Sus scrofa: one gene and its partners. The protein of the gene in region 3 interacts with the protein of the main gene of each other region in a biochemical or structural test. Links are inferred from orthologs where the notes say so. Each region holds a gene or a part of one and is shown on either strand. Other genes may lie near its edges.

Region 1 (3,654 bases), on a different chromosome or scaffold from region 3:
ATGCCAGGCACTGCATGAGATGCATTTCACACACTAGGCCTAATCCTTCCTACAGCTAAAGGAGATAATTACCTCCATTTTAAAGACAGAAAAAAAAAACCCAGAAACAGTGGCTGAAGTAGCTTGACACAGGTCATCTAACTAGAAAGCGTGCAATTGGGATTCAAGCTTTGAACCATCTGATTCCAAAATCTATACACTTTCTATCTTACTCAATCTGGCAAACTGTAGAAGTCCTCTTTCACAGGCAGTAATTAGTATTACTGATTCATTTTGTAACAAAAAGCAACTAAGGTTCTGCTGTGATGACTCCGGAGCCAGAGTATAGAAACAGTCTATAAACTCTACCCAAAATATATGCGTTCCCTTCCATTCACTTAAGTGTTTTATCCATTGTACCTAAGCCTTTTTTTTTTTTTTTTTTTAATGTCTTTTTGCCTTTTCTTGAGCCACTCCCTCGGCATATGGAGGTTCCCAGGCTAGGGGTCTAATTGGAGCTGTAGCCACCGGCCTTCACCAGAGCCACAGCAACACAGGATCTGAGTCATGTCTGCAACCTACACCACAGCTCACGGCAACACCAGTTCCTTAACCCACTGAGCAAGGCCAGGGATCGAACCCACAACCTCATGGTTCCTAGTTGGATTCGTTAACCACGGTGCCACAATGGGAACTCCATTGTACCTAAATCTTTGATGTGAAAAAAAAGGGAACTGGATAGTAACGTATTCATAAAGAAATTCTACAGACCGATAAGAAAAGAAAATGTCCCACCGATACGACACAGAAATACTATTTAAGGGGGAGTTCCCGTTGTGGCTCAGTGGTTAACGCATCCGACAAGGAACCATGAGGTTGCAGGTTTGATCCCTGGCCTCACTTAGTGGGTTAAGGATCTGGCATTGCTGTGAGCTGTGGTGTAGGTCACAGACGCGGCTCGAATCCTGCATTGCCATGGCTCTGGCGTAGGTCAGCAGCTACAACTCCGATTCGACCCCTAGCCTGGGAATTCTCCATATGCCATGGGTGCAGCCCTAGAAAAGACAAAAAGACAAAAAAAAAAAAAAAAAAGGAAATACTATTTACATCATGAAAATAATTCCTTTTTTGTGGCACCCAAGAAGTAGATGACAGTTCAGTACATAGAGCAGTTCTGGTTTTACTAAAGTGGGCTTTGGGAAAACGGAATGTCTAAACCCTTTCAAGCTAAGTAAACAGAGTGCTACCTGTACTTCATCATCATTTTCCCCAACCCAGCTTGAAAGAGGGCGAGGACTACGAGGAAGGCAAGTCCACAGAAGGCGGAGGCCTGCAACAACTCCCACAGCAGCCCCATCAGCAGCGTCACTTGCAGAGGAGCGATCCACACGAAGTGCGCCAAGGCAAGTCCCTGAAAAATAAAGTCACGGTGAAATGCACCGTCAATTCATCCTCCACTCCCAACACAAAGCCCAAAACAAGCCTCCAAGAAAGAAATCAAGCACAGCGAGGTCACACAAACAAGCACTTCATGGTTCTGAATGCACTAAAATGTGGCTATTCATGACTGGAGCACACAGCAATGTGCTGAAACATTCCACGCAGGGGCTACGAGTTCCCCAAAAAACAAAATTCAAGTTGCCGTGATTTTTTTTCAGAGGAACTGTGTGGTGAATGGCTATCTGAAGTATCATGTCAAGAATTTATTTTAAATAGTTTACTTCTATTTGGATAAAGTTAAGAGCCATGACACAGAACATGAGAGAACAAAAACTCTCCAGGAGTTCAGTCCACACAATGGCACAACTCTTGTCATCAGACAGTATATTCGCACACGCATGCGCCATTCAACAGTAATTTACTTAACACCTGCTGAAGGGTTCAATATTGCATTAAATCCTGGAAATGTGACGATAAATAAAACACAGAATCTGTCTTCAAAGATCTTGTATTTTATTGCGACAAAAGGCAGCGCTGAACAAGAGTTACTCAGAGTATCTTCCTCAGCCAAAGTAAATAATTAATTTAAAGCATTAAAAGGAAGTAAGATCTGATAAGGATTGAATTTTGAAAACCGCACTAAATACAAAGCCAGCTGAGGTGCCCTTGAACTGGGTGGGTCTGTGAGACCCCAGAATGGCACTCTGCTACAGAATTTAGCCTTCTCAGTTTTCAAAAACAGGGAAGGTGGGGATGCTTATGACCCAACTACTTAATTACTGTTATCTGACCCAGGAAAATCTTTGAGGTTGCATGATTTATAACAAAGATGCATAAAAGATTAAATCAGTAGGTACATACTTCATCAAACTTGTTCAGGTTGTTGGAAAGGAGACTAACAAGTTGTCCAATACTTATTTTATCTAGAACACGGCTTGACAGCTTCAAAGTCTAAAAGGAAAATAGGAAGTTAGAAGATGTCAATGAACAGTAGACAAGTATATTTAGAAGTAATGATATATTAGGTGACTCTGCATGAATTTTTATGTAAAGGTAATGAAAATTGTTTTATGTTCACCTAGCTTAGTATCTTCTCAAATTTATAAATATTTCTCTTTACAATGAATATTACACTGGCATGGCTTTACTTATTTTATGTTACAGTATCCTGAAAGTAGTAATTATTTTTTCATACTCCAAAATGGGAATAAAATTATACTCAAACACCCAATTATATACTGTGAAAGTTTTTTTTGTTTGTTTGTTTGTTTTTAATAAAAGATGGAATCAAAGGCAGTGAAACTTGAGATTAAAATCTTGGCCTTACAGGGAACTTCTGATAACCTACAATGAAAAAAAATAGAAAAAAATAATATATATGCATATATTCAATCACTTTGCTGTATTCCTGAAACTAACACAATCTTATGAAACAACTGCTTCAATTAAAAAAAAAAAAAAATCTTTTAATAAAACCTTGTTCCTGGAGTTCCCATCGTAGCTCAGTGGTTAATGAATTGGACTAGGAACCATGGGCTTGTGGGTTCAATCCCTGGCCTCATTCAGTGGGTAAAGGATCTGGCATTGCTGTGAGCTACGGTGTAGGTTGCAGAAGCGGCTCAGATCCTATGTTGCTGTGGCTCTGGCATAGGCTGGCAGCAACAACTCTGATTAGACCCCTAGCCTGGGAACCTCCATATGCCGTGGGTGAGGCGCTAGAAAAGACAAAAAAAAAAAAAAGAAAATCTTGGTCCTAAATTTTTCATGCAGTCTTATAGAAACTGTTGAATAAAATTACTGTTCAAGTCAATAAAATATAAATAATTGATTCATTAATAATTTTGTGAAAAATTACTTTAACAATAAAAAAATTCTTAAATTTTGCAAAGAAAAATATATCCATATACACAGAATTAATCATTAAGTAGATAAATTAATTATGATAATGAAAGAGCACAGTCATACTTTGCCTGTAAAATCTAATAAGAATTGATTTGCCATTAGATGGCTTTGATTGGAAAGTGCCCATTTAGTATTTGCTTCAACTGAATCTCTCAGTATTGAACACTTAGGAGACGAAAATCACTATTCATGGCTTCAGGGATTATTACTAAGATTTATTAAACATAATGCTTGCCTCAAGGAAACCTAGCACATAAATAAATATGATAAATTAGTTAAAAGGAGTAGAAATAAGAGGGTAGTTAAGAGAAAGTTCACATACCTAGTTATGAA
Region 2 (4,417 bases), on a different chromosome or scaffold from region 3:
CAGGTAGCCTGTGTGGCCGATGTGATTGGTTTTCAGCTTGCAGTTAGCCAAGTTCCATACCTAAGATCGTGGGTCACAGGTGAAAAACCTGGCCCTGGATCTGCCAAGAGGGCTCAGGCCAAATAAAAGGCATAGCACAATGTTTAAAAGCATTCCTGAACAGGGAAGCCAATTTCAATTCTATAAGTAACAAAAAAGGTCAAAGAATTTGTCCTGAGCACTTAAGAATAGTAAGATTAAAACTGGAAATTGGAATTGGGAGTTTTCCTGGTGGCGCAGTGGGTTAAGGATCTGGCAATGGCACTGGCACTGACGTGGCTCAAGTTGCTACTGTGGCATGGATTCCTGGCCCCAGAACTTCCATGGCCAAAAAATAAACATTTCCCCCCGCCCCAGAAATAAATGATTTGTGTTGCCACCAAGGGACACTAATTTACCAATTAGCTACTTCAGAATATATATAAAAAAGTAATGACCTATACTGAGAAAATATCAAGAGGATAAAGGTCAATTGAGGGACACAGCTTTCAAAGCTGGAGCTATGACCAACTAATTGGGAGGCAGTGGGGGTTGGTATAAAGGCCCTACACCCTGGCTCCAAGCTCACCTTGACCAGCTTGTCCCAGCCACAGGAAACAATAATGGGATTGCTGCTGTTGGGTGAGAAGCGGACACAAGACACCCACTCTGAGTGGCTCTCATCCTGCAAAGGATGGAAGGAAAATAAGATACTAAGCAACTCTAGATCACCAACCCTTCCCTCAGTTACAGGGATATATTTTGATAGCCTTGTGTTCACACCCCCAGAACCCAAACCCTCAATCAAGATTGACAGAATTGCTTTAGATCCCCAAAGAGGCTTGAAATCACCACATAAAGCCAAAAGGATGGGAGAAAATGTTCAACATGTGTTCCCTGCGTGTGCCCTCACTTTACCTGGACAGTGTATTTGCACACACCCAGAGTATTCCATAGCTTGATGGTTTTATCTCGGGAGCCAGAGACAATTTGTCGGTTGTCAGAGGAGAAGGCCACACTCAGCACATCCTTAGTATGGCCTACAAATCGGCGCGTGGTGGTGCCCCTGAGAGGGAGGACTTGGTTACACTATGGATGGACTTTGCAAATATTCTCCCAGTCATAACTGTTTCCCTAGGCTGGTTCCTGTCCCAATGGAGCTGCACTACTCACACAACCCTGGACATGGTTTGGTAACAGCAGGCCCTTGGCTGGAATATGCAAGAGAATCCCTTCAGAATTGCAGGACATGTCCTCATTCCCATGTGGGGATTGGCTGACAATGTCATTGGTCATCACCAGGATCCTCCATTATGCCTGACCAACCAAAGACTGAGCTCCCAATATACAACAGGTTCAAACTGTTGCCCACTCCCTAGTGCAGTACCTGAAAAAACTGCTCAACCAAACCACTTCACAGAAATTTTGCATAATAACAAATAAGGAGGCAGGCCAAACAACCAGAACTCTTTTCCAGATATTCTCTTACACAGTGAACCTGATCTCTCCTGGGAAACTACTTCCAGAAAGTATCTACCTCATTTCTACCCAGCTTTCCCCCAATGCCCCCAAACAGGTACTTGCGTTGTGAGATCCCAGAGGCGAAGGGTTCCATCCCAGGAGCCCGAGAGGGCAAACTGGCCATCTGAGGAGATGACCACGTCACTAACAAAGTGGGAGTGACCCCGAAGAGCACGCTGTGGGATTCCATAATTGGTCTCATCTCTGGTCAGCTTCCACATGATGATGGTCTTGTCTAAGAGGAGGTAAAAAAAAAAACAGAGGAAAGCCACTGAGAAATCCCGCAGCCCATCTTCTGACCTACTAGATAATCCAGGATACCTCAAGGTGATTGACGGGCTCACAAGTTAAGTACATTAAAGGGGTAGGGGAACTACAGGTTATGAAAGCAGTTCCCAGTCAGGGCCAAATGGTCAAGAGTGAAAAAGCTATGAGAATTTAACTCAGGTGTTTGGAACTTTTCCAGATTATGGATGCCTTTTACAGATATTCGCACCAACTCAACGTCTATTTCAAGTTTTTTTCTGAGTTCTAATGGATGGGTACAGCACTCTAGGTGAGAGAAAACTAGCTGTGAGCCTCCAGAGACTACTGCTGGGGCCTCCAGAAGTTCTGAAATTAGAAGTCACTTTAGGCTCTACAGGACTGGGTTCTTTCACTTCAATGCGTTCTACTCAACAAACTTTCTGATTAAAACCCCAAACGCAGTCATATACAAAGAGAATGAGGAAAAACCGAGGGCAAAATCGGCACACGTTGACATTGCAATCACTCCACTTCCAACCGAGTAGAGGGCCGGGCGGCAGCTCAGAAACAGCCTCTGGGTTTCAGCATGGGCACTCAGATGGCATGTTGGAATCATCACCGCCCCGTCCGGCCCCGAGGCTCCTGGGCACACATCCACTTAGATAAGTCGGCCAGAGATTTAAAAGAAGTCCCCAACCCCCTCCTGGCAGCTACTGGGTGGTCTATGTTTCGCAGTCTGCAAAGTGGGGACGCCTCAAGGGTTTAACCACGCTGAGGCCTTACGCACGGGTCAGCTCACACCCTAACCGAATTTTCAGGGCCGCTACTTGGCGGTCTACTGGCCCAGCCATACAACGTGCGCAATCCCCTACTCCCGTATCCTCTACACCGCACCTCAGTCCGTACCTCGAGAAGCGGACAGTATCATGTCCGGGAACTGGGGAGTGGTAGCAATCTGGGTCACCCAGCCGTTATGGCCCTTGAGGGTGCCACGGAGAGTCATCTGTTCAGTCATGGCGGCAGCAGATGCAGATGTCGCCGGAGCGACGAGGATGGTACCGGATAGCTCAGAGAGACGACCTGCACGGCCTCTCACGCCGAGGCCCGGCTGAGGAAAAGACCGAGCAGTGGCATGCCGGAACCGGAAATACCCTCCCTCTCCGGAAAAATGGTGCCCTCCCACAATGCACTCCTGCTCAAGATGGCGGCACTACATAGTGCCCGGGAGGAAGCAAAATAAGACCTGATGGTTCCCTGCTCCGCGCGACCTAATTTGGCAGCACTGTAAAAATGAATTCCAAAACCGACACGCCAGAGTATTTTAAAAGGCTCCTCAAAGGTTGATTAGGGAATGATGTCTAAAAAGCGGAAGACGGGAAGTGCTCGCCCCATTCCCGTAAGGATAGCCTAGCGCCTTCGCTTCCCGTAGGTCGCACCGCGCGAACCCCGCCCCTTCCGCTTCGTGGCTCTGAGAGCAACACAGAGGGCGTTTAATATCGAGGCCGCAACTGTGAGTAACGGTGGGCAATGTAAAAAATCCGGTGTTAAGTTTTAAAAATAAACTGTGCTAAGGTGAACTATTAAACTCTAACAGATATACATGCGCGGGGGACGACTCTTCTCTGGAGAGGTTTATGCTCTGATGTTTTTGGCTGAGGAACTCCATGCCCAGAAAGACTGAGTTCAGCCAGGACTAAGGCAGAAATGGGTTATGGAGCGGAAAACCGAGGATGAAGGAAAAATCCTTATGTGGGCTGCTGGGCAGTCACCCCACTCCTGCCTCGGCAAGAGCGCGGAGAGCTCTCGCGGAAACTGAGCGGTCCTAAGAGGAAGGACCTGTGGGTTCTGACTTAATGTGGGCTCGGGTCAAAACCAGCTCCTGGCCAAGCCACCTCATGGAAGGGCCGTGGGTCTGGGGCGGGGGGGGGGGGCGGTGGTCCTAGGCGTGCCCAAGTATTTCCTGTTTGTAACTTGTATTAACTTAATTTCTTATCAGTCAAACGAGTTTGGGAGTAATAGTACCTACCTCCTAAGGTATTGTGGAGAGTAAATGAGTTAAGACAGGTAAAATGCCCAAAAAAGTGGCTGGCAGAGTGAATGCGCCCAACTTAACATTTGAGTACCAGACTCTTTATTTTAGATCTTGGGGATATATCTCTGAAGAGGAAGAAAGGGACCAGGTTTAGTTTGTTTTTAAGTTTACAGTCAATGCGCTGGAGAGAAGAGAGCTTGAAGGGGAGACTTTAACAAAGACAGGAAGATCTGGGAGAGAACCCCGTGGATTTATGATGATGTAATGTCCCAGTCAATGGTTACATATAGAGAAAGTCGGAGGGAAGGGTCAGTGATAAAAGTCCTGAGCTGGAGCGTTGGAAGCGCTTAGGACGGAGGGTCGGAATAATGAGATGGAGGTGGGGCGGGGGAGCTGACAGAGGGCCTTGCAGGCTGGGGGAAGGACCGCGGAAACCCCAACCAGAAAGCCTGCCTTTGAGAAGGAAGGCAGGGGTAATGGCGAAGCTGCTGTTGGCTGTGGCCGCTCAGGTGTGCAAAGAGGGCCGGAATTTCCTCGCTTGAGAGCAGCTACTCTCCTGCTGCCCCTGCAGACCCCTGCTTTCCTCTGCAGCCACGTTCG
Region 3 (2,566 bases):
TTCTTCAAATCTGTGCCTGATAACTACATAGGTACTATCTTTGAGTTTAAAAAGAAGACAAAAAACTCATAACTGAATCTCATCTAATAATCCCATATAATCTTAAATGAACAAAAGTGGCAACATATCTTAATTCAATTGATATGGCCAGTGAAGAACTGCCATAAACTTCTACTTAATTAAAGGCTCTGTGGGAGACCATTTATGTATATACAGCTATACCTCTTTATAATGCTGAAGTAGAGAAAAAGAATAAGTACGTATTTACTTGAATTACAAGTCAAGTTGTTCCATCAGGCTTTTTAATAAATAAGGTAAATTAGGTTTTAGAGTGTTTTGCATGGGAAATGTGAATTAATATAAATTTCAAACTGTGGTATGATCTTGCACCATTTATTAGAGGTCTGTTATAGTTTATTCATATATACCTTGGTATATAAGATATTTGTCCCACTTAACATAAAAATAACAACAAAAAATCCCTTTCAGCTTTCTGCAATTATTTACCTCAACCAATCTAGTTGAGAAGAAGATATTCTGGCAAACTACAAATAATGGTAATCAGAGATGTATTTTCTAAGTACAGATTTTTCATTTTTAAACTATTAAAACTGTAAAACAATATAATGTTTCTTTAATAAAACTCACAGACATATTTTAAATTCTCATAGTAGAGAAGGGTCATTATTTTGACAACCAATTAAAATACCTAACTTTAAAAATTTTTACTATTTCAGTGATTTGAAATAGTGATTTGAATCAGGTTATCTATGACTATTTACGACTGCACGTAAATAGACATGTACCTAAAATGTTTAATGTTTAAGGTTAACAATGTTGCCTTTAGCTAATTACAATGGCTATCTGGGACACAGAGTGCTTCAGTTCCAGGAAATGCAGCAGGAACTATCACTTTAGGATTAGGCTGTATCAAGCTTTAAGGATTTTATAAGAAGATAATATTAAAAGTACAGTACACTATTCACAAGACTCACAAATGCTGACATGACAAAGGCACAAAATCTCACATTTTATGTTCTTTTGCTATTAAATTACAAGGAACAACTCAACAAGCTTCAAAAGAATCAAAGATTTACTAAAACGCCAAATTAGGTAACAAGGTCTCTTATGTCATCTACGTTGTTTTGTGTGATGTACATACCATCAATACTACGGAAATCCAATAAGTACGTCCTACTATCCACTTGGTATAATTGTAGACTCATTTTGGAGTATGTACTTGTCACAGGATTCTTCCTTCGAACACGCAAATAATATGGATTTACAACCTAGCATATGGCATGGACAAAAACAAAGTCAAAAGCAATTTTTCTATAAAGCATCTCACAGACTAAAGGTTTGACTAAATGTGCTAACAACAGCAGAATGCTCGTTCTTACCTTCCACTCATAATCCAGTTGTTTAATTGCTCTACAAACTTCTGCCATGATATCATTGGGTCGACTTTGACTTCTAATTCCCAAATGCCATTTTGCTTTCCTTACACCTTGGTGTTTGGATTTTTGTGGATTTAATTCATCAAGGGTATGGCGTGCCCTTGGAGTTTCAGCAACCAAAAACGGTACTCTTTCAGGATGGGGCCGAGTCAAATGGTGATCATCAAGAAAAGAATCAGGTGGGCTTGTTGCCAAGTAAAAATCTTTGGCCTCATTCATTATTCTCCTGTTATCTATTATAAGGTGGTAGGCAACTGCCAAAGGGTCCTGGTGATTTCTGTTATAAAGGCAGCTGAGAACCTCCTCTTCTGAGCATTCAAATTTTTCACATACTTCTTTTAAGGCTTCATCATCAATCATGGTTGAACTATACGATGGATCCTCAGGAAAGAGATATTTTGGAAGGTCCTGTTTAAACCATTCATGTTCCCTGAGAGAAAATGTCAGAGGTCACGAGAAGGATTTTGAGGAGAGATGAGACTAAAAGCCACAATTTGAGGATTTAGGATATGAATTCATTTATAGTTATACTCATACTGTATTATCACTTTTTAAAACTGAGATTTTCCTCTTCAGGATCACATTTCATTGTATATATTGGGAGAAATGCTCCAGCCTTCCTCTGATTTTAAAAGGGAGAAAACACTGCTGTAGCAACCAAAAAAGTGTCTACACTTTTATTTAAAGTTTTGGAACAGATGGTAATGATAAACAAATGGCAAAGATCATCTTACATCCAGCTTCTTTATAATACTCTTTGAATGTAATATTAAGATATTAAGTGAAAAAAATACATAACAAAAAAAGACAACTATTATTCATTGAGTGCTTGGTATGTGCACTTCAACACTTCATAACATCATCTCACCTCTTTTTTTTTTAACTCTTTTTTTTTTTTTTTGTCTTTTCTAGGGGCATATGGAGGGTCCCAGGCTAGGGGGTCTAATCAGAGCTGTAGCCGCCAGCCTACACCAGAGTCACAGCAACCTGAGATCCGAGCTGTGTCTGTGACCTACATCACAGCTCACAGCAATGCCAGATCCTTAACCCACTGAGCAAGGCCAGGGATTGAACCCAAAACCTCATGGTTCCTAGTCGGATTTGTTGAC

The links.
Region 1: the proteins of PRKAA1 (region 3) and CFTR form a complex in vitro, tested with the Homo sapiens proteins (2 studies listed by BioGRID, with this or other methods). The link is inferred for Sus scrofa from reciprocal best matches to the Homo sapiens genes PRKAA1 and CFTR.
Region 2: of the proteins of PRKAA1 (region 3) and RACK1, one has a biochemical effect on the other in vitro, tested with the Homo sapiens proteins (2 studies listed by BioGRID). The link is inferred for Sus scrofa from reciprocal best matches to the Homo sapiens genes PRKAA1 and RACK1.

The regions. Positions count from the first base shown.
Region 1 is NC_010460.4:28,759,210-28,762,863, forward strand, and holds part of CFTR (cystic fibrosis transmembrane conductance regulator), read right to left. Parts: intron 2,371-3,654; coding exon 2,281-2,370; intron 1,391-2,280; coding exon 1,227-1,390; intron 1-1,226. UniProt on the Homo sapiens protein: Epithelial ion channel that plays an important role in the regulation of epithelial ion and water transport and fluid homeostasis. Mediates the transport of chloride ions across the cell membrane.
Region 2 is NC_010444.4:57,278,662-57,283,078, reverse strand, and holds the start of RACK1 (receptor of activated protein C kinase 1), read right to left. Parts: upstream 2,888-4,417; 5' UTR 2,801-2,887; coding exon 2,692-2,800; intron 1,775-2,691; coding exon 1,603-1,774; intron 1,085-1,602; coding exon 937-1,084; intron 704-936; coding exon 608-703; intron 61-607; coding exon 1-60. UniProt on the Homo sapiens protein: Scaffolding protein involved in the recruitment, assembly and/or regulation of a variety of signaling molecules. Interacts with a wide variety of proteins and plays a role in many cellular processes.
Region 3 is NC_010458.4:25,750,064-25,752,629, forward strand, and holds part of PRKAA1 (5'-AMP-activated protein kinase catalytic subunit alpha-1), read right to left. Parts: intron 1,888-2,566; coding exon 1,401-1,887; intron 1,290-1,400; coding exon 1,163-1,289; intron 1-1,162. UniProt on the Homo sapiens protein: Catalytic subunit of AMP-activated protein kinase (AMPK), an energy sensor protein kinase that plays a key role in regulating cellular energy metabolism.